Linked DNA regions of Alligator mississippiensis. The protein of the gene in region 2 interacts with the protein of the main gene of each other region in a pairwise test. Links are inferred from orthologs where the notes say so. Each region holds a gene or a part of one and is shown on either strand. Other genes may lie near its edges.

Region 1 (7,738 bases), about 4.8 Mb from region 2:
TGTGCATGCCGGCAAAGAAGAGCTCTTCTATTAAAAAGATGGATACAGCTGTAAAAAGTATGCAACCATCCCTCCAAATGCCCCAGAAGGACATTTGCTGGTCCTGGGATCCATGAAATAAATGGAAAAGGGCTAGGAGTCTCCACAACCTGACAATGTAAAAAATGCAATGCTTTAAAAGTGGGGGGTGCCTTCCACTCCAGGAATCGCCTTAATGGTCATAAAGGGGGCAGAAAGGTCTTGAACTGTTGGAATAGTGTGTGGCACAAATGAAGGCTGTGGTTTAAGTTTGGTGGAGAGAGTGAGTGGGGGGAGGAGGCTGTAACCGTGGGGCGCACTGAAGGTAGAGGTCGGGGGGGCTGCTTACCAGCAGCTCCTGGGGCTTGATGGAATTGTCCGTGTATATGCAAAGCTTCTCCGCAGTGAGGGGGATGGTTTCTTTTAGCTTGGAGGCCAGGAACATGCAGACGGCCCCCAGCAGCTGAAGATGGCACTTTCTGGTGGGCACCACAGCTAAAAATCGGTCCAAGTAATTCATGGCCAGGGGGAAAACCTCTTCTTCACACTTCTGCTCTTCACAGACCTGCAAGCAAGGAGGAGGGGGAACGGGAGAAGAGTAGTGCAGGGTGGAGAGGGAAGAAGAACAACAAAAAATGAATGCTCACATGGAGGGGAGCAGGGAGAGGGGCTGCGGAGGGGCGCTGGGGCAGGGCTGCCCGGGCGGGGAGACTGGCCTCTTGCATTCCTGCAGTTCATTCACTAAGAAATGAATTCAAGGCACTGTGTGGGAGCCCAAAGACTGAGCTTGGGCAACCCCATGATGCTCATGTACCTATATATTTTCTTTCAACCTTCCTCCACTTTTCTTTCAGCCTTTTCGGATTTCGTCACATTTTCCAAAAATCCCTAAAAATCCCCCCGTGGGCCAGAGCCCCCCAGTTCCTGCGGGGCTGGCGCCCCCGGCCGCCCTCCCACCCCGCACCCCTCCTGAAAAAATTCCCCGCGCGGGGGCTGCGCCCCTGCCCCGCGCCCACCACGCGCCCGGGGGCGGTACGGGCTCCGCAGCGGCGGGTGGGGGAACGACTTCAAAAATTCACCAAAAATCCAAGCAAGGGGCAAAAGGGGCAGAAGTGGCACGAAAACCAAGCGGGGGGGCTGCCCTTCCCTGCCCGCTAGGGGGGCACCCTGTAGCTCCCCCCCCGGAGCAGATGGGCTGGGGGGAAAGAGAGGGGCCGGGGCAAAGGAAAGCAGGGCCCAGCGCGGGGCTTGCAGGGCTGCGGCTGGGGGGCGCGGGCAGCGCTGCCCGGGGTGGGGGATGGAGGGAGGGAGCGCCCCGGGGCGCCTCCTGATGCCCCCCCCCCCCCAGCACACGCAGCCCCCGGCCCCTGAGCAAGGTGGGGGACGGCTGGCCTGGGAGCAGGGCTGCATGCAAAGCAACATGGCGCAAGCAGGGCACGTCCTGAGCGCTGCATACGTGGGCACAGAGGCGCCCCTGGGGCAGCTCTGCTCGGGCGGGCACCCCCTGGCCCTCCGGATCGGGGCTCGGCCCCGGGGCAGCTCCCCGGCCCGCAGGGGGCAGAGCAGAAGGGCTGGGCGGCTGCACAGGGCCGGGCTCGGTCACTTTTCTGCACCCCCTTCTCTTTTTTTGCACCCCTCTTTGCAAGCTTTTTATTGCACCCTTAGGCTGCGCGCACACACACACACACACACACACACACACACACACACGTGCGCCATTTCACCCCCCCCCCAAAGCATGGAGGGGAAGGAGCCCCAACTCTGCAAATGAGATCATGCAGAAGGGATCAAGCAAAGCAGAAGCTTGCAAAAAAAAAAAGGTGGGGGGAATAACAGAGACTAGCAAAGGACCCTCCCCCCCTTCCTGCAGAAGGGATCAAGCAAAGTAGAAGCATGCCAAAAGGGTGTGTGGGGTGGGGGGGGGAGCTTGCAAAAAAAAGAGGAAAGAGAGGGGAAAGAAGGGGGGGGGATAACAGAGCCTAGGAAAGGTCCCCCCTTCTTGCAAAAGGGATCAAGCAAAGCAGAAGTCTGCAAAAGAGAAGTGGGGGCAACTTGTAAAAAAAGGGGGGGACAACAGAGCCTAGCGGAGGATCCCCCTTCTTGCAGAAGGGATCAAGCAAAGCAGAAGCATGCAAAAAAAAAGAGGAGGGCAGAGGCAGCAAAGAAGCCCCCTTGCTGCCCCGACGTGGGCGGCCCAGGCTGGGCGGCGGTGGGGAGGGGGTGCACACAAACCTCCAGCATCCAAGTGGCCACCATCCTCCGCATGAAGGGCTGGATGTCCTTCTGCACGCACTTGAAGTAGGAGCAGTGGGGCAGATACCTCTCCTCCACGGTGAGTAGATTGTGCAAAACGCGGTCGTCGTAGAGCAAGTTGGGGTCAGGGAGAGCCCTCCTCATGGGATCCACCTCGCAGCACAGCAGCTCCATGTTTCCTAAGAGAGCTCCCTCTTTCTGGGATGGAAAAGTTGTTTTTTGGGGGGGGAGGGGGCGGGGGTTGGGGAAGGAGAGGGGTAGAGGAGGAGGGTAGGTGGGTGGGAGGAAGGCAGCTCGCTCCTGCTTCCCTTGAAACTTCTCTCTCTCCCCCTCTTCCTCTCTCGCTCTCCTCGATTTCTAGCCTAAAGTTGAAGCGAAGTGACGCAAGGCGGCGGGGCAGGCAGCGCTGGCGCTCGCGGGGCTGGAGCGCGGCGGCCGGGCAGACGTAACAGGCGGCGCCTTCCTCGCCGCGCTCTGTCCTCTCCGGGGTAGCGAAGGGCCGGGAGGCCCCGGCGCAGAGGGGACATGCACAGCCCCCCTCTCTCTCTCTCTTACACACACACACACACACACACACACACACACTGTGTGTCTCTCACACACAGCCTCTGACAGTGTCACACACAGTCTCATACACACACACAATGTGTGTCTCTCACAGCCTCTGACAGCGTCACACACACAGTCTCACTCATACACACAGTGTCACACACGGTCACGCACACTGCCACCCACTCATGAACACAGCCTCCCACTCATGCTCATACACACCATGCCTCACACTCACACACACATCTCACGCTTATACACACACACACTGCCTCACCCACTCATATACACAATGCCTCACACTCACAGACACACACACTCACACAGACACACACTGTGTGTCACACACACACTCTCTCTCCCCCCCTTACTAGCAGCTTCCCCCTTCCTCCCTCCAACCTTCCCCTCCGCAGTAGCCAAACGGGGTCTCTAGTCATTTCTCGCCAGAGGAAACTGGCTTCCTAAACACCCGGGGCTTTCATTTTGCGGGGGAGGGAAGTCGTGAAATAGGAAATGTCCTTACTCGGTGCAGCTCTCGCAGAGGAGCTGGTGCTCACAGGGTCAGTTCTCCAGCTCCCCTCTCCTCCCCCCTCCCCAAATGAGTCTTCTCATCTGCAACCGGGAGACAACAGTCACACTTTGCTCGCCAGTGAAAGGCAAACCAGAAGGTGACAAAAGCAGAGTCCCGAGGCTGTGCTGGTGGCTGTATATACTTTGCAACGCTGATGTCTGGAGGGAGCTAGCAGTGGCCACAATGCAGCTTCCTCGACTGTGTGTGTGTGTGTGTGTGTGTGTGTGTGTGTCGCCCAGAGCTGCTCTACCAGTGCATGCTCACACGCTGATATAACTTTCTAGGAAACACGGAGGGGGGGCAGGCGGAGGAGAAGGGGGAGGAGGACTGGTCCCGACTTCCACCCTTCGCCGCTGCGCGCTGCATGCAACACAGCTGTTCTCGCTGCTGGCCAGGCCGCTGCCCCGCTGCACGGGCCAAGCCCTGGGCTTTCCCGGCTCTGATTCATTTGCTTTCATAGTCACTCATGCTCTGGCTTCTTTTGGCGTGTCTTACATTGTCCCCAGTTGCCCAGGGATGTGTAACTTTTCCCCTACGGACAGAGACGCACAGCGCCCCCCCGCCCCTCTCCCTCTGGGGCCAGGCAGCGGTGGGGAGGGTGCGTGGGGTTTGCTCGGTCCCTTGCAGCAGCTGGACCCCATAGGGTCCTATGGGGAAATGCAGATGGGGCTGCAGGAGAAGGAAAGAGGTGGGCAGGCAGGGGATACATGATGCCTGGGATGAGCCCGGCTTCTCGCGATCCCTTCCTCCTCCCCCCAAGGAAGATGGAGGTGGGGTGGAAGGAGCGAAATATCACTTTAAAAGTGTGAGTTGAGAGTTTGGGGAGCCGCTTCCCCTCCCTCTATTTGCATAGCCAATAGCTCTGGGGCTCTCGCTGCTGCGCGCTGATTGTTACTGGGCAGATTATATTTTAAGGAAGAAGCTGTCCCTCCCTACATCAAAGAAACTCAGCAAGGGGGGGAACCCACCCACCCACCCGCTACTGACCTCACCCGTCGGGGGGGATTGGGATTTCATCTCCCGCAACTCAATAAATCCATGCAATTAGCGACTGCGGCGTGAGCCTGCAGCCAGCCCCGCCAAACTGCGGGGCAAACCGAAACAGCCTGCCCTGAGGCTGGAGCTGCTGTGATAGATTAGGAATCAAGGCATAAAGACAGCTATAATAATAATAGTAATAATATCATCATCATTATTATCATCGTCGTCATTATCACTATAAATAGCAATATGATTATTGCAATCGAGACACACGGGACTGGGGGGCTGGTCATAAAGAGATCATAAAGATGATCATTATCATCATCATCATTGTCGTCATTGTCATTATTACTATCAGTATTCTTGCATAGAGGCACACAGGGCTGGGGGGATGCCCCAGACAGGTTAGGAATCAAGTCATAAAGAGAGTTATTAGTAGTATTATCATCATTATTATCATCGTCATTATCATTATTAATATCAATATTATTATAGCAATAGAGGCACACAGGGTTGCCCCAGATGGTTTAGGAATAAAGTCATAAGGAGAGTTATTATTATCACCATTATTATCAATATCAATATTATTATAGTATAGAAGCACACAGTGCTGGGGGGCTGCCCCAGACTAGCCAGATGTTGAGTCGATGATGCCCGTGTTTCTTTTATTAAGAAACACCCACCCGCCTCTGGACTCCAACCCACAGTGCGGCTGATTCTTGCTGGGCCGGCAGAGCCCTCCTCCTGGGAGACCCTCCTCATTTTCTTTGCCAGCTCCTCCCCAAAGGAGCAGGGGGCTGCGGCCGGGTGCGCATCCAGGAAACCCCGGATGCAGGCACCCGACAAATCGCAGTGGCACTACATTTCCCCCCCTCCTGCCTCCTTATAATGGCATCAGCTGGGCGGTTGTCAATCAAAAGTCCCCGGTAGGAAGCGGTGGACATAGCTGTGTTGTGCAAAGCCCGCATTGTATTCTGCCCCTGGAGAAAGGGAAAAGGGAGGGAGCTTTCCCCACCCCTGCACATACACTGAGGTCTATGAACTAGGAGCTATTAAAAAGCGGCATGCTACTCAATGAAAGGCTCTTTAAACTCCCCCCATTCATTCCCCCTTCCCTATTGCCCGCCTGCTCCTGTAAACAGGGAGCGCGTTGTGTCAATGGCACGTTTGCCTTCTCCAAACTCATCGGAGTGAATTCATAAACGCCCTGCTCCAGCTTGGGAGCCCGAACAAGCCAGGGCTTGTGCTTGAATTTGATTTTCACTGGGGAGCGGGGAGATGGATGTCCTTGTACAGATGTGACACTGATCAGGACAAAGGGGGAAAGACCAGTGACTTTGCAAAGGCGCTGGCTTTTCAGGAGGAAGAGGCAGGAGGGGTCCCGTGGGCACACAGCACACATCTGGAAAAGAAACGAGCACACATCTGGGGGTGTCCTTCACACACCAGGACAAGAAACGAGGTGACATCCCCCTCCTGTCATCTCCCCATGGATATTGCCCTCCAGTTTCAGGATCAAAGCGAGATCACTGGGGGGAGAAATCTTATTTTAAAAGCTTTCTTACTTCGGTGCCTCTCATTCAAAGTATTATATTTAGTTTTTTTGTTTTTGTTTTTTAATTTTTTTGTTGTTGCAAAAATGCTCCTCTCCCCGCCCTGGGAGCAAAGAGTTACCCGACTTCATGCCAGGGCAGGGACTGCCCAACCTTTCCTTGCAAGCCACCAAGTCCAAGCTCCTGCTTTCGGGTTCATGTCTGAGCCGCTAACGTGTGGTTCTCATTTTCCTCCGTCGGGTCGAGATGAGGGTTTTGTTTTGACTCTGGGTGGCCACGGGGCTTGCAGCTATGCCTACACCCGGAGACGCACTTCTGTGCTGTGGAGCAAAAAAAAAAGGTCATTTCTCCTCACTGCTTTGGGAGTTTCTTGCTCAGTTTCAGACCAAAGCTGCACCAGCCACTTGGTTCGTAATGTGGTCTTTATGCCCATGGGCAATCCGTTTTTAGGCTGTTATTATTATTATTACTTTCTTAATACATCACATTTTGAGACAGCAGATGTTTTAACAGTCTCAGTTTGGAGATTATCGAGTGCCATATGTTAAATAGCAAGTCCCCCATCCCCCCCTAAAAAAAAAAAAAAAGAAACCCCCTTCTCGCGCACACACTCCCTTCTTTTGGCGGGTTCAGAGCATAAATGATTCAATCAAACGCTGTCAGAATATATATCTTTGTATGCCAACACCTTATAAAGTTGACACCAGTGTCTGGAAAGGTTGTGGGGAAGATCCTCCCCCCTCCCAGTGTCTAAATCACTCCCTGCAGCGATGTCTCCAGTCCAGCTGCAGCCCGCACCATGCTGGATTTTCGCGGAAATTCAACGTCATCCTGCCAGCTCACGTGGGAATCATTTTTCCTCGGGAAAGCGGCGCCTATTGCTGCTGCTGCTGCACAGTGTTATAGTATGTGATGCTGGAAGCCACACGCTCTGTACTGGAGGGGGTGCTGTGCTGCTCTTAGTGCTGTTGCCATCCTGTGAAAGGCAGCGATCTGATCAAAAAAAGCGATTGGCATCAGTTTTAGGAACGTCCTCCTCCCCTGCCCCCCCCCTTGCAATAATTTTCCATTCACTTTGAGTACCGTTATCCCTTTATATTAATAATCAGGAGCAGAGCAACTATGAACTGGACCAGATGCTCCTGATTAATATTAATCCTAACCTCTATAAAACTATGTTAGGGGCTGGAAGGGACCTCCCTTTATATTAATAATCAGGAGCAAGGTCCCTTCCAGCTCCTAACATCTATGAAACGATGAACAACACAGTGATAAAAATGCTATTTTATTATTTGCAGGGTTTTTGGTTGTAGCTGTGCTGGTCTAAGGACATAGGCAGGTAAGGTGCTTTGGGTAGATGTGATATCTTTTATTAGACCAACTGAGTAGGTGGAAAGATGTTCTTTGCAAGCTTTCAGGCACAAGCACCCTTCTTCAGGCATAGGGAGTCTCTGTTGTTCTTCTGAGATCGCCAAGGAATGAATCGAGCTAAAAGTGTGACAGGAGGTCTAATAAAAGAGATCACATCTACCCAAAGAACCTTGCCATTTTATTATTTAATGTTCCAGAAAATAAGGGAGGCTCTTCCTTTTTTGCCTTCTGCATCTTTCTAGCTTAATTTATTACCCTTGTTTATTATTATTTCAACTCCTCCCCTAGCAAATACAAGAAAAGAGACAGTAAAAGGGGACTGCGGGGACACAGATCAAATTTTGAATCTGAACCTAAGGTACAAAATTTAGGAGGGTAACTTCTTTTTTTGTAAATGTCCAGTGGGCACAGATATTTTTCTTGTAGTTTATTTGTTTAAACC
Region 2 (7,796 bases):
TCTTCAGTGCTTGTACAAGATCTCCATCCCATGGAGAATCAACGATATGTATTTTTTTTTATTAATTTGTAATAGACCTTTACATCTCCCTGGCTTCATCCACCACTGGGGCATCCAGATGAAGGAGGAAATGCAGATGAACTCTGCAAGGAAAAACAAGGGCAGGTATTAGCGGAGGGGGCTGGGAGGGAGGCAGCTTTACTCCGAAAGCCCCCAGATCGAGGGCCGCAGTTTTGGCCCCAAGCTTGTAAACGGGTGTGGTGCCAGGCAGGGGAACAGAGGGGCAGAGCCCTGTGGAAAAACAACACACCCGAGGCCGCCTCCCCCGGCCCACGGAAATGGGAGTGGTTCCCTCCGCGCCTGTAAACAGGGCTCGGACACCGAGTCACCAGGTCTGTGGCGCTCGGCTGCGGGAGGGGGAAGGGGAGCCGGAGCTGTTTTCGCGGCCGGTGCGCGGGGCGCCGGCGACTCCCGAAGCTCCCCGCCCCGAGGGAGCGCGCGGGAGCACACAGACGAGAAGAAAAGCAGGAGCCCTCTTCCCTCCACACTTAACCCCTTGGTGCGGCCGCTCGCCGCGGCTCCGCTTCCCCTTCCCTCACCCAAATAAACAGACAGTAGTAGTGCTATTTGCATACACATCATGCTGACGTGTTCCTGGCCCCGTTTACCCCAGCGGGGCTCATTTGTGCTCACTTCTGCTTTCCAGCTTCATCTGCTCGGCACCGAGCATGTCTGTAAACCTCCCTTTTTCTTAAAAAAAACAAACCAAAAAACCTCGATTCCCTTCAAACCGCCAGCCCTAGCCGTCCCAGCCCCTGGCTGCTTCAAAAAAACAAACTCATTAACCCCCTCGGTGCCCTGGACACTCACTACGGTGCCAGCGTATTCAAAATCATCAGCATCAAAATTAGAAGTATAAAAATAATAAATATCAAATAATACACACACAAATAACACTAGTGATGATGATGACCATAGTAAGAAGGGTGCCATCCTATTAAAATCATCATCATCATCACAACAATAATAAAAGCAGCATAAAAATAATAACCAAAAATAATACACAATAAATAATACACATAATGATAACAATGATGATGATGATAGTAAGTAGAAGACATGTTCTGCCCACCCTGAATTTCAATCCAAGTGCTCCCCTTACTTTTTCTCCACTCCTTACTGACTTAAGAGATCTCACCCTGGCTTGTTTGCTGAGCCAGAGACAATGCTAACATTGTCAACCAGCTAAAAAACAAGAAAAAAACCCAAGCAGCAAACAAAAAGGGGAAAAAATACTTGTCGTTTGACTTTTTTTTTTTTTTTTTGGAGCGAGCCTGTTTTGAAACTCATTTTGCCAGCATCTTATTGGGAGAGGAGGCCTCAGCACCTTCTAGCCAAGTGACCCAAGCCACCCCAGCCAGGTTCTTGTGGATAAACAGCCTACAGCCAGGACTTGCTTAGACACCTCCCCCCCTCAAAAAAAAATCTCTCAAGGTTGAGCACAAACAAAATGCAGTTAATATGGCCAGCCTCATCCAAACCCCCTTTGGAAATGCCTTCAAAGAGCAACACACACACACACACACACACACACACACACACACACACGGGCAGGAGTGACTCCACACTTCCCTGCCTGTTCAGATCCGCTATTTCTTTGGGACACCAACATCCTAGTGGGAACCCACCTACACAGTTCACGTTTGATGTTGTCTTGGGCTGGATTTCTTGGGCGTTTGCTCCACTGTGCTGGCACTGTGGGAGTCTTCTGAGACTTCTTCTTCTGCTGTGTTGGCTCTTTTATTCTGAGGAGAGGAGTCTGGGGGGGGCAAAAAAGGGGGGGGGAACCTGGTGTTAAAATACATTTCCTGCTAGATATGCACTCACAGGACCCAGGGTACAGAGAAAAGACCAACCCCCCCCCACCCCCCTTTGACAAGCCCCAGACTGGATGGATGGCAGGAGAAAAAACATTTAAAAAGCTTAGGGGCTGAGTCCTTTCTCTGATTCAAGCAAGATACAAGGTTTCCTGTTTGGGTCGAAAAAGACTTCTCTCCATTTTGGTGCCCAGGGATGCTGTGATCCTGGGGCTGTTGCATTAGGAATCCCTGGAAGTAGAGCCGAGGGAGGGAGGGGACAAGAGGGGGGCAGATGGAGGGGCATCCAGCGTGGGTGGGGGCGAGAGGGGGGCAGACAGAGGGGCATCCAGCTGGAGCACCCAGCCTGGGTGGGGGGAAAACGGAGGAGCATCCAGTTGGGGGACTCAGGTGGGACAAGCCTTTTGCCCTGCAGCAGGGCCAGATGTGACAAAAATAATAATAAGTCAAGCGGATGTAAAAAGAATAGTAAAGTGGGTGTTGAAGGAGAGCGAGGCAGGGCAGACAGAGGAGCATGGGGGGGGGGACCCAGGTGGAAGGGCCAATGCCCCCGCGCCTTTTGCCGTGCATTAGAGGCAGGGGCAGACGTGCCGCAAAGAATAACCACTCAAGCGGGTGCCGGGGCAGGGCAGCATCCAGGGGCGGGTGCCGCTGGCAGGGCAGACCAAAAGCCCGCGCGGCAGGGCAGGGGCAGGTGCGCAAGGCAAGAAGAGGAGGTTGTACGTTACCGTCGGGGGCCGGCCGCTTCCTCTGCCCGGCGGCCGGGTCGGCGCAGGCGGCGCGCGGCGCGCAGCGAGTGTCCCCCGCGCCCTTGCCCTTGGGCAGCCGCGTCGGCCGCGAGTAGAAGTCGGGCGAGGCGCCGGGCTCCAGCGCCCGCCACTCGAAGCGGCCGCGCAGGGGCCGGTGGAGCTGGAAGTCGAAGTTCCACTTCCTCTGGCAGGCCTCCTCCAGCTCCTGCCGGTGCTTCTGCAAGTCCCTGCTCAGCTCCTCGTGATCCACCGGCCCGAAGAGGCTCCTGCAGGCGGACGGCTTGGGGTGCTCCGCCTGCCTCCCCTCCATCCGCTCCAGGGTCGGGCTCCCATTAGAAATGCGCACGTCGGACATGTCCCCCCCGCCCCCCTCTTGCCGCTGGGGGTGGCCGCGCCGCGCTCCCCCCCACCCCCCTTTTTTTCTTCTTTTTCCTTTTCTTTTGAGTGGCCCGCAGCGCGCTCGCGGCCCCGGCCAGCAATCGCATAAGCAGCCCCGCGGGCGGGGAGGGGGCGCGGCGGGGCCCCCCGGAGCAAGGCGGGCAGCTCCGGGCGCGCGGCGAGCGGCGGCCGGTGTCACAGGCGCGGCGTAGTAGCGGGGGGAGGAGGGGGGTGCAAAAGAAAGGCGGAAAAAAACAAGAAAAAGACGAGCCCTCTTCTCGCTTGCCCAATATGGCGATTGAAGGGAGGCTGACGAAGAAGAAAATGATTGACATTCCCAGTCTATTTAAACAGCGCCGCGGAGCCATTGGCTCCAGCGCGGGGCGCCGCCCCATCTGCCCGCCCGGCCTCTCCCGGACAGCCCCTGTTAAGGTGGCCCGAGCTGCTGTGCTAGGGGCAGGGAGGGGGGTTGCTTTGCTTTACCCCTGCCCCGGGCTGAAGGGAAGCTCTGACCCCCTCCTCCTGCCCTGCTCCTCTTCTCTGGGGGGACCCGGGCGCGGGAGCCCGAGTTACGTGTTGACCCGGGGCGGGGGGAGGCAGGCGGAGGTCAGGAGTTCAAGGAAAGCGCCCCGAGGGGAGCTGGGGGTTGCATGTGGGCGCCTCCTTGTTGTGTGGTGGGTGTCAGTCCCCACGGGCTCTCTCGGTGGCCACGCAAGGCTCGCTACTGACTTGGTCAGGTCCGTCTTGCCCCCGTGTCACGCGGCGGGTGCTGAAAAGGGGTCTGAGGTTTTCTCCCCCCTGCTGCACATCTCGCTTGCAGCTTCCAAACTTTTCCCGAGCATGACCCCATTTACAGCCCGATTTCCTCAGCACGGCCTCTCACTCCCAACCCGCAGCAACCCCATCCTCGGATGTGGACACCCCACTGATGTTGCCACCCCATTTGGGGTCACAACCCACAGTTTGGGGACCGCTATCCCAGACCTTAAATGCTAAGATCAAGCCAGACACTTCCCCCCCACCCCCCGATCAGTTTAAAGTCTAGGACAGCTAGGTCTGGGACAGTGTTTAAGGTCTAGGACATCTAAACCCCAAGGCTTTTGGGCCTGGGGCTTGCATGTAGGATACCTTTCTGGATTTGGGGAGTGTCCAAAGCCCCAGACAGATGGGTTTGGGAGGGAGGAGCCACACAGATTTATGGATTGAGCTCCGCTCAGTCAAATGTTGGAACTTGACTATTGGGCTTTGCACAATTGAATTGGAACTGATTAGTCCTTCAACAAGATACAAACGAATTAAGGTCTAAGAAGTTCCGTACCCCTAACTCCCATGCTCAATAGCTCCCGATGCCCCTTTCCTCCAAGAATGTGTCCAATCCCTTTTTGAATCTAGTGGAGCTGCCAGCTTTCTCAGTGTCTGGCAGCAATGAGTTTCACACTTTAATTCCACACTGTGTGAACAAGAACTTACTTTTGTTAGCTTTAAAACTGACTACTTACTAGTTTCATTCGTTTCATAGTTTAACATGTGTTGGGGGGTGGCGGGGGAGGAAGAAGGAACCCCTCCATGCCAGTGCACCTTTTGCCAGCCAGCTAAGGAACAGCGTTTGGGGGCTAGACGGATCGTGGTCACATGTGTCTTCCTCCCCTCAGGGAGAAAGGACTTGGGGGAGGAAGTGGCTTTGAGACTCTCCCTAGGTGGGAACAACCTGGCAGGGGCAAAGCCAGTTTGATTTCTGCAATATTTCTGTGCTCCTGGAATCACAGCTCACGCGTGTCTTCCCCGCCCCCAGGTACAAAGAGGGTAAGAGTGACCCTGGACCACTCTCCATTCCTTCCCAGTTCTTGGTCCCATCCCAAGCCATTTCCTTTATCAGAATGATTGGATGTGGGTGGGGAATTTCTCCAGGGACATAGGAATCATCTCATCCCCCTGGGACAACGAGCACCCCCTGGAGATGCTGCTAGCTGTCGGTGAATGGCTTGAACTTTGGAATGGCTGGACCTTTGAATTGAAGCCTGTGGGGGCCACAGGCATTTTACCCTGCAGTCTAACGAGGGTCCCCTCAGTTTGGTAGGCAAGAGATCATAATTTCCCTATCAGTGGGATTGTATTTCTGCATGACTTCGCAGGGATCCATGTAGCACACAACTTGTTTAGACAAAATCCTTTAAAGAGTGAAAAGCCAATACAATGGGGGTGGGGAGAACTCAACTGGCCTGGTTTTGAAGTAGCTGAGTGTTTTTCCACCTACGCACACCAGTTTGGGTCTAAGCTGCTGAAGCTTCCCCTATGGGTATTCCTGAAGCAACTATATCTTCATCATAATAGTGTTTTACAAGCATGAAGTGACTTTCATAAGGCAACACATGGGGGGTTAGGGGGAGGGTGAAGGGGAAAAAAATCCAGAACATTTTCTTATTTCTCCATTCCCCTCCCACTCTTAACAATGACCAGTCCCAGGGCAGAGAAATTCACATGACTTGCCCAAGGCCCATAGTTTCAGTTCGTTTCAGAGCCAAACATCCCTAGTGTTATGGTCTGTGTTCAGTGTGTCATGCCCAGAATATCTCAGCACTGCCAACTCCAAGTGTTCAAACATTGTGTGTAAAGCCAAAAAAAAAGATAATCATGAGACTGGCTTAAAAAAATATGGGATTTTTTTATCAGCTTTTAGGTAGCAGTTGGTTTGTGTTTTCCAGCTTCTCTCTGCAACCACATGTTCTAGCAACTTACTTGAAAAACAAATGCAGACTGCCACTCATGTCTGCAGGAACTGACGCTTTTTTTTAAAGTATTGCACAACTTACAATACAATTGCAAGAGTGGGCAATACAGGCACCCATTCCACTGTTTTATATCAAATAAGGCTTTTCTTTTCTTCCCCCCCCGGCTGTTTCTGTCTTTGAGACTGTGTTTTAACTTGCACAGCCATCAGGACACAAGTACCATTTTACACTCCTTGCAACTGTCTCAGCTGGAGAAGCAAACTGTGTTTAGTGTGCTGAGCCACATCTGGTATATGCACTTTAAGCCTGTCCAGTTTAGAAAAGTAGTTCTGCAAAGCCAGGTGTGCCCTGCTCAGGACTGCCTGATGCTTCAGTGACAGATGGGGCTGGCGTGCGGGGAACAGACAGGTTGGTTATGAAAGGGTGGTTATCTGGTGAGTGTCCTTATAGTGTCAGGATCTGCCTGTAGTAGAAAACAGCACTGGCTCAACTTCATCACTTGAAAAATCAGAAATACAAGCAATCAGTGGCCGTGTCTGCACGTGCATTAATGCACCATAGTTACTGTGCATTAAGTTTGATACTTATATAACCAAGTACTAAATCAATGAGCAGGAACTGGCACTACTGTGCAATAGCACTGATGCACAGCTTTTTAGTGATGCTAACTGAGCAGTAGCCTAACACTACTGCACAGTAGCATATTAGCATGATGTTTCCTGACATGTTACTGAGCAGTAGTATTAGACTACTGCACATTTAGTGTCTGGTGTAGATGTGCCCAGTATACATCCAGAGACCACTGGTTTTGTTCTGTTTTTATGCACAGGCCCACAAACTGGTTTCTGACTTGGATTCCTCTAGGCTAACACAATACAAACAATTAGGAATAGCAACAACCACTCATCCAAGGGTGGTCAAACCAGCTGAAGTGCATCTAAATTAGGGGACTGCAGCCTTTAACCAAGATAATTTTTTCTTCAGTTCAGCCAGTTTGTTTTTCTAGTAAAATAAGGCCCAGCCCCACCAGACAAGAGACCAAAAGAGAGGCCAAGGCAGGCAGGTGTGGGGCTGAGCCTTGGAACCATTGTACAAGCCTGCTACACCTGGGACATGATTCTTTCTCTGACTTGGACTTGGTGCTCCTGTTAGTAAAGGCTCAAATCAAGTGTAGTCCTGGACCTGGTCCAAGGAGTGCTGGGAGCTGGGAGTCTCCCTGCAATCAGCCCCGCACACCGACCATGTCACCATGACGCCCAGCACAAGGACCTTCCTGAAGCGGTTCCTGAAGGAAGCCGTCCGAAACAAGTACACCAGCGACCAGAGGGCCAAACCCGACCAGGGCAAGGTCTTTGACGTCACCTCAAAGTGGGACTCTAGCAATCACTTCATGCCCAGCGGGAGCTTCACGCGCTTTGCAGACTGGTGCTTCCTCCACCGCGCCTGCCTCAACTGCCTGCCTCTGAACGGGGCTGTCTGCTTCAGTCACCGGGACAAGAGGTGCTGACGGTGTGGCTACTCGGTAGAGACCCTCCCCCACGTGCTGTGCAGCTGCAGGTCGCATGCCAGAGCCTGGCAGCTCCGCCACAATGCTGTCCAGGACTGCCTGGTGAGGGCCATCCTGGCCACAGCAGGGGAGATCTCTGTGAACCGCACTGTCCCGGGCTGCGAGAGCCAGATGCAACCTGACATCGTGATAACCAACAAAGAGACCAAGAAGGTCATGATCATGGACGTAACCCTCCCCTTCAAGAACTAGCACCAAGCCTTCACCGACATCTGGGCTCACAAGTGGGAGAAGTACGTCCCGCTGGCCGACATCCTGAGGGGCTGCGCCTACGACATGACGGTTGACATGCTCATCATGGGAACACTTGGAGCCTGGGACCCCAGCAACGAGAACGTCCTGCGTGCTTGCCATGTTTCCCGCCACTACGCCAAGCTGATGAACTGCCTCATGGTGTCCAACACCATCAGCTGGTCCTGCAACATCTACGTGGAGCACATCATGGGCCACTACCAGTACTCCAACCCCACCAGACAGACCACCGCCAGACTGAACC
Region 3 (7,602 bases), on a different chromosome or scaffold from region 2:
TTGATGTTGCATTAACCATGCAGCTCGGTCGTGTGTTTTTTCCACCTGGAGGAAAGGTATTTTCAGAGCCCGAGAAGTGCCTGATAATGGTAGTGCCCTGAAACAGAGTAGAGAGTAATTCTGTAGGGAGAGAATTGGTGGGAACAGAACAATTCCCATTTTAAGAGAAAGCTTCCCACTTTATACAACACTGCAGGTTACCAACTAGAGAAAACTATTTGCATCAAAAAGCTAGAAGTTAGCTGAGAAGAAAGCTTACAATTAACAACTGGTATTTAAGTTCTACTTATTGCCTTCTTGCTGTAAGCCGAGTCTTTTATGCCATATGGCGTATTAACTGTATACCAGGTTTGGTCTTCGGCACAAGCAGCATAGGGGACTATTAGATGTCAGCAAGAGGACCAGCCTCAGAGAGTTACTGAAGTTTCATACTACATTTCAAGCTAGTTAGTTAAAAGATACGAATTGTAAAGTGAAGCCTAGGACTCTTGAAAGCATTAAACTAAGATAACAAGGAAGGAAAGGAAATAATATTTGTCAGCTTTACCAATAAGCTTACCGTTTTGTCTGAATTTTTTTTTTTGGGGGGGGGGGGGGAAGCAGTTTGCATGGATAAGATAACATTATGCTGCAGATTACAAGTGGTAACTCTGTTTTGTTCCTCTGACCCCTCCCCCGCATAGACTACTGTAGTTTAACCCACAACTGTACGTAAACAGGAGTATGAACAGGCATATCGGGTTTGTAGCTATGGCTAGGATAAATACAGGCTAGTGGACTATACCAACAAGAACTGCACACAGACTCAAACAAGTGATGCTGAAAGCCTACTAGCTTCAGTGGTTTCTCCATACTTCTGAAAACAAGGATCTTTTTGTTTAGGAACAGGCTTGAAGGGCACAGAGCATGACTCTTACCACGCAATGCAAGGTGAAACCTAAAAAGGTAGTAGTCAGTGAAAGTAAGAGTCATTTACTATTTTGTCAGTCAGGTGGCTATCAGACACCCTAAAGGAATAGTAACCATATTACAGGAAAAGTGCATTTCTAGCCAATTTTTGCAGTGCAGTACTAGAGTCACATTAACTTGTATTACAAGCCTTAGGTTTCAGGACCAGCTGATGTGCCAGAGGTAATAAGATCAGCAAGGGAAGAGGGGCCAAGGCAAAAATAAAGGCTTCCCCCAGGAGTAGTTCTAGCTCCTGGAACATCATGCCACGACATGGGAATCCTGTAGGCAGCCACATGACCGTGGAGGCACAGAGCAGTAGTTGGCAGTTCAGCAGCATCTGCATTTCCACCAAACCCCACATTCTAGCATCTAAAAAAGGCTGCTTAACAGTCCCTTCAGTGACCTTCCTATCAGGAAAAAGATTGAGCAGGTTAAGAAGAGCATCACTATATTAAGTGCTTGCCAGCAGTGCCCCTGCCATCCTCTTTCCCACCATGAGAAGTCCTACTTATTGGGTAGTAACTGAAGCACTGCCCTTCAAATGCCCCCCACCCCTCATGGCCACTTGACCCGTCTCCTCTCCATGCTGCATAGCATGTAGTAGCCAAGTCAATCCCAATACTGCTAATTCTAAATATTCCTTTCGAGTAGAGACTGGCTTATGACTGAAGACTCTCCAACAGGTGGTTTACTTTTTGGTTTGCACCTTTAGGTTATGCCAAGGCCACATTTAACACTTCTTTCCTTTCCCCACTCCTATGAGCTAGAAGCTTATCTGAAAATGTGAAAGCCAGGCCTTGCAAAATTACATGTTTCCAAGCTGTGGGTTTAAAAAGAAAATGCCCAATATCATTGTTTGGGAGGGTTGTTACCTTGTGCCCCTTTTGAGGGGAGCTGGGAGTCAGAAGCCACTTTAGCTAAAGGGAAGAAGAATCAGCAAGCCAGGTACCTAGGACTTTAGATACCTAAAAACCTGTCTTGTTGGGATAAGACTTTGAGAAGTTTGAGTACTACAGACAGAGGGGATACCTGTGTATCAATATCACAGCAACATGCTTCAGTTTTACAGGTTTGTCTGCAGAACCAGGGTGAGGTTTTATTGGTTTCATTTTTTTTTTAAACCAAGTTTAGAGATCATCAACAGGACAGAAGTTGCCCATCAGAAGTGGCCCTTTGTGCATGACACAAAGAGAAACAAGCCTTCCCAGAAGCACCCCAACTCTAGCACAGAAGTCCTGAGAACTGGCTTACCCTGCACCATCCCAGCTGAGCTACCTGCACCATCCCTGCTCACACTGTCTCTGCACCAGCACCCAAAAAGTTTGTCAGACCAGGTCACTCCCCAGTGTAAGCAGCAGCTCTCCAAGAGTTACCTGGCTACAGGCTCGAAGGCACTGTCCATTCTCGGTCAGCAACCCAAGCACAGCCCTCTGCAGGGCAGGCTGGCTGGAAGGAGCTGCAGCCTGGCGGGGCTCCCGGTTCCCCACTTGGGAGACCCCACCCTTGTCCTCGCTGCACCGCATGGCCTCCAAGTCAGCAGCAGAGAGCTGGGGGGGAGAGAGACAGACAGCATGAAAGAAAGAGAAAAGCAGGTTAGTTGTTCCTCCAAGACTGATCATCTCCCTGGTATCTCTCCCTCCTGTGTCCCCCCCCCCCCCCACACACACACACACACACACACACGACTGGTGCCTTCTGAATCTGGGGGGGGGCGCCCACAGAAGTCACCAATGGCAGCAGCCCTGGGGGGGGGGGGGGCACCAGCCCATCCGACAGCATCAGTATTGGTCATTGGGGAGGACACATGGACCCCTACCAGTCACCTATGCATGCACACATACACTGTAGTGGAGAAGCAGCAGCCTTCCTCCATGCTCTTTTTACTACCCCAACCAAATAGACTACAGCTTGCACCTTGATCTCCAGCAGCTGAGATCAGTACGGGGGGGAGGAGCGGCGGGAATGAACACCTGGGATCTGAGCCTGATCTGTGTAGGCTCAAAGCAGTGGAGACAGGGAGCACCACTGTTGGCGGGAGCAAGGACAAGGGGCGCTGTGGGTGGATGGGTGGGTGAGCGGGCAGCGCCCCCGCATTACCTGCGCCCCGCCTTCAGGCCCGGCCCGACCCGACCCGACCCGCCCGGCCTATATAGCCGGGGCCAATGAGCGCGCGGGGGCGGCGCGGGGCTGGCCGATGCTCCGGCGGCGTCTGTTGGTGCGGGCCAGTTGGAACCGCGGCCCGGGCCGCTCTCGCCGCCCGCCCTGGCAACCGCGGCGCGGGCCCGCACCCGCCGCCCGCCCTGGCGTCCTGGGCCCGGAGCCGCCCCCGGGCCGCGCCGCACGCACAGCCCCGCGGGCACGCGCTGATTGCACACACACCTTACACACTGGTGATGCACACGCCCTTCTTACGCAGGTGCGGACACAGACTACACACACGTACGGATCGCACGCACACGAGTTACATAGGTGTAGACGCACTGGCTAGATTACACACACACTGATAATACACTCACACAGGGGCATTGATTGCACACCTCCCCGCAATTATACACATGTATGCACACACTGGTTACACAGGTGGCACATAGATGACACACTGATTGCACACTGGGGCATACAGGCACTGATTACATGTATGTACACACTGACTAAATGCATGCACGCTGATTATGTGTGTTCACACACTAATTACACACGTGGTGATTCCGCACACGTATACACAGGATCCTGTGTACACAGTGCCTTCAGGATCCTGTCCCAACCACCGCCTGGGAGCCCCCTGTCCAAGGGCGGTGGCTTTGCTGTCCCCTCAGCTGTGTATCCTTTATCTCCTTCCTAACCATCAGTGCAGAGAAGCAGCTCTCTGATTTCCAGTCACCTGCAGCCATCTGTAGCTGTGTGAGCCATTGGGGAGTGAAAGCAAACCCCGGGACAGTTCCTAATGAAGCCTGGAATAGTTGCAAGTAATTGCAGTGTACACAAGGCCCCTTTGGCTGCCTTTTGGTGCAGCGCTTATAGAAGCGACTGTAAGGAAAGGCCCCGTGGTGTTCATTCTTTGCAATGACACTCTCTCATGATGCACAAATGCAGGGGTGGTGAACACTCTGGGGTCCAGTCTTCATCTCAAACCCATGCACCTCTAAAGGACACAAAAATAATAAACCTGGATGTAGAAAGACCCTACGTTATACAACTAGACTAGTCACTTCTGGCACAGAAAATCTATGTGCCAGCATAACCCAGAGCCTGAGCACTGAAACCTACTAAATCTCATCAAATGTTGCCCCTAAACACCCAACTTTATAGCGTTTCAAGAACAAATAAATCTGTCTCACTGCACTAACAAAAGTCCTTGAACCGTTGCATCTCAGTATGGGATGGCTGCAAAAAGCAGGATCTGGAATATGGATCCTCACATTCATCCAGGCCCCAATACATATTCTGTGGCTTAAACTGAAAACAAAGGTAGCTACCACTATTGCAGTGCAACAACAGAAAAAAATCAACTAAAAACAATGGACCTGGATGCACCCCCATGGATCAGTGCTGCAAAAACTTGGTTCCAGGATTGAATCCAGTTGGAACTTTGCAATTTTGGGGGGCCCAAATTATAGTTTAGATTATACATCTAAATAGAAAACAAGCATCATTTCTCCCATATTAATGAAATAAAATTCAAGCTTTGATGCTTGCTGGCCTAATGCCACTAGAAAAGCATATATCTGGTTCTAGGATCCTGTTTCACACTGCCAATTTTTAACCTCAGCCCTCCCTCCTCATCAAAGTAGAATTGTCTAAATAGAGAAAAAAGGTTGCATCAATATAGCAAAATGTAGTTATGCAATATGTATCCCACATGTTGTGTTTCAGTGAAACCATAATAGCCTATATCTGACATCACTTTGTCTAGATACCGTACCTCCAAATGTCATATTATGTATGTATATTTTGCAATGGAACTGGTCCAGTGGTTGTGTAATTTAGCTTAAACACTTGATGGGTTAGTAATTTATGGAGATAATCAAAACAATGTAAAGGAATTACATACTGTAATTCCATTAATTGTAAATAATTTCTAATGTTATACAGGTCTAAAAATCCCTTAGGTTGAAAAAATCTAAGCACATTACCTACAGATTTATCCAATGCACATGCATAGCTGTACTTGTTATCTGTCCAGAAGATAAAATTTGTGATGATGGTGATAATACAAGTTAGATTTGCTGGACCTAGATCTGCAATTGGATTTTTCAAGTGTTTGTGTGCTAGGAGTGATGAGGGGCCAGATTTTTTTTGCAGGAGTGACTATACAGGTAGTCCTTCGACTTATGACACAATTGGTTCCTGAAAACTTCATCTTAAGTCAAAATGTTGTAACTTGAAACTGATTTTCCCATAGGAAATAATGTTATAAATGGGGGATTGGTTCCTGAACCAAGGCCCGATACCCTATTTTAACCAAAAATAACCCATAATTTTGTACTCAATCAATTATAGATGAGTAATATAGCTACATTAGCATATTTATATTGTAATAAGCAATCACATTGATTTGGAAGGACTTCTTTGAGGTGACTTTGCTGGACTTTTTGAGGGCTCTTGGCTGGAGTCTTCTCAGGAGTCTTGGCTGCAGGTTTTTCTGGAGCCTTGGCTGCTTTCTTAAAGAAAGTGTCCAAGGAAGCTTGGACAGATGTTTTCCAGGGAGATGGGTGATGCAGTGAATGTGTTCACTGGCATGGCATTGCATCGGATCAAGCTTTGTACAGTCTAAACTGATGTCAGAAAGTTGAAACAGTGTCAATTTATAAGCATTGTAAGTGTGAAACGTAACTGGAAACACTGTAGGTCGAGGACTGCCTGTACTTGATCTGTATTTATGCAGTGAAATTGAAAAGTGCTTTGTAGCCAAAAATGGTCAAATCCAACAGGACCCAGGTGCAAGGTACATATTCTTGAGTTGCTTTTGCACTGGTGTGTATTAGAGCCAGCATTTTTCTAAAGGATAATGTGCTTTTTTGACTATACAGTTTGGGGCTTTGGGCAGGATTCACCAGGCTAAGAATGCTGAGTATCTTTGTGGTGCTATTGAACAGGGATATACCAGGATCTGAATTTTTGAGTGAGAGTAGAGCATCTATCCTTCCCTGTTGAGCTGGTACCATTTTGAGGTTTGGGATTTTAGATGCATATGTTGACTGTTACAACAGAGTCTGGATTTGGCAGTTCATTAGGAACTCCTATATCTTCTTCTTGATTTAGACAATAGAATTTGAGAGGCTGTAGTTAAAAAATTGGCAGACTTCTATTGCCAAATATGTGTTTTCTAGTGCTATAGGACTGGTATCCAAAAGAGGGTCCAGGTCCCCCCTCCAACATCCCCACACCCCTCTCCCCAAGTGAAACAGAAGCAGCCCTACATGTTTGTGTAACTTGGAGCTTGAAGCCAAAAATCATCAGACTGACTGCAGGGAGATTCCAGATGCAGAATTTTGCAGTGTTCATGTGTCTGAATGCATCAGGATCCAGTATTCTTCTATATGTAGTATGGAATATAGGAAAAAGGCAAATATTAGCTAGATTTGCTACATCCCATTGTTTGGGGGATTCATGGGTTTTTGCATAACTGGGGTCTGGAATCCTTTAGTGCAGTACAAGCTACAAAACTTATTCTCTGTGTGGTGGCATTGGCTTTGGGGGCTTGGGTCAAAATTTGGGTGGATCCACCAAGCTTCTAGTGCCAGACTTGGGTTCTTTGCAGTGCATATACTCTAGAATGCAAAAGGGTCTTAATTTTATGTAGGTGCAGTTAGAGCAGCTAGACATCTAAATTGTGATGATATTTGGGAGCTTGGAGTTACAGATCAGCAGATCCAGGTAGATTTAGCTTTTTCTTTTCTAAAAAAATGGCATAATAGCATTTAAAATGTGAATGCCACCAACAGAGAATTCCTGGTATGTCTCACAGATAGAAAACATGATGTCAGTATCTGACATCATCTGTGTGCAGTTTTACTTTCAGTCAGAATGGATCCTTGGAGCTCTGTGTTCTTTAGAGAAGTTAGATGGTTGGGAAAATAATATGGGGGAACTGTAATGACTAGAGGAAATGATCACATAAAGGTCACCAATGCTGCAGGATAGGGCTAGAAAATTATGATGTACAGTCCTCTTTTTTTTTGGTTGAGATGATCAGGAACCCCTATGTTAACATATTTTATGCAGACTTTCATGACATGCAAGATCCCATCTTGTGTAGATTTGTTAAACGTTTCAATACAAAAAATTTCAATCCTTGGGAAAATTCAAACTGAGACACTAATTGTGCAAAAATTAAATGTGTGTAGACTTACATAGAGAGGAATTCTCTTGACTTTACTGGAACTAGTTGTAATTGTAACGTCAAGAATATGCTTAAGTGCTTACAGAATAGGCTATAAGTGGCCTAACATTGTGTGGTTGTAACTATGCTGCTTCTGGTTTAGAAAGTACCATGTGTGGAGCAGCACATGATGCCTGTCCTGAAGATGGTTACGTTTATTTTGTGGACATAACCTTAGACACTTTTGAAAACGTTACCACAAAACTTAGTTGTCTTTGAAATTTTCAAACATTTTTATCTTTGGAGATCCAGATTTTTTAAAAAATGCT

Evidence for each region. The genes of interacting proteins can lie anywhere in the genome.
Region 1: the proteins of CDKN1B (region 2) and CCND2 interact in binary tests that used the Homo sapiens proteins (3 or more experiments, as listed by UniProt). The two-hybrid records come from large-scale screens. The link is inferred for Alligator mississippiensis from reciprocal best matches to the Homo sapiens genes CDKN1B and CCND2.
Region 3: the proteins of CDKN1B (region 2) and CCNA1 interact in binary tests that used the Homo sapiens proteins (3 or more experiments, as listed by UniProt). The link is inferred for Alligator mississippiensis from reciprocal best matches to the Homo sapiens genes CDKN1B and CCNA1.

The regions. Positions count from the first base shown.
Region 1 is NC_081827.1:142,428,334-142,436,071, reverse strand, and holds the start of CCND2 (G1/S-specific cyclin-D2), read right to left. Parts: upstream 3,154-7,738; 5' UTR 2,446-3,153; coding exon 2,251-2,445; intron 584-2,250; coding exon 368-583; intron 1-367. UniProt on the Homo sapiens protein: Regulatory component of the cyclin D2-CDK4 (DC) complex that phosphorylates and inhibits members of the retinoblastoma (RB) protein family including RB1 and regulates the cell-cycle during G(1)/S transition.
Region 2 is NC_081827.1:137,609,373-137,617,168, reverse strand, and holds the start of CDKN1B (cyclin-dependent kinase inhibitor 1B), read right to left. Parts: upstream 3,333-7,796; 5' UTR 2,982-3,332; coding exon 2,606-2,981; intron 1,820-2,605; coding exon 1,698-1,819; 3' UTR 1,689-1,697; intron 144-1,688; 3' UTR 1-143. UniProt on the Homo sapiens protein: Important regulator of cell cycle progression. Inhibits the kinase activity of CDK2 bound to cyclin A, but has little inhibitory activity on CDK2 bound to SPDYA. Involved in G1 arrest. Potent inhibitor of cyclin E- and cyclin A-CDK2 complexes.
Region 3 is NC_081824.1:420,989,389-420,996,990, forward strand, and holds the start of CCNA1 (cyclin-A1), read right to left. Parts: upstream 3,154-7,602; 5' UTR 3,049-3,153; intron 3,033-3,048; exon of another isoform or gene 2,866-3,032; intron 2,857-2,865; exon of another isoform or gene 2,768-2,856; intron 2,499-2,767; 5' UTR 2,475-2,498; coding exon 2,325-2,474; intron 98-2,324; coding exon 1-97. UniProt on the Homo sapiens protein: May be involved in the control of the cell cycle at the G1/S (start) and G2/M (mitosis) transitions. May primarily function in the control of the germline meiotic cell cycle and additionally in the control of mitotic cell cycle in some somatic cells.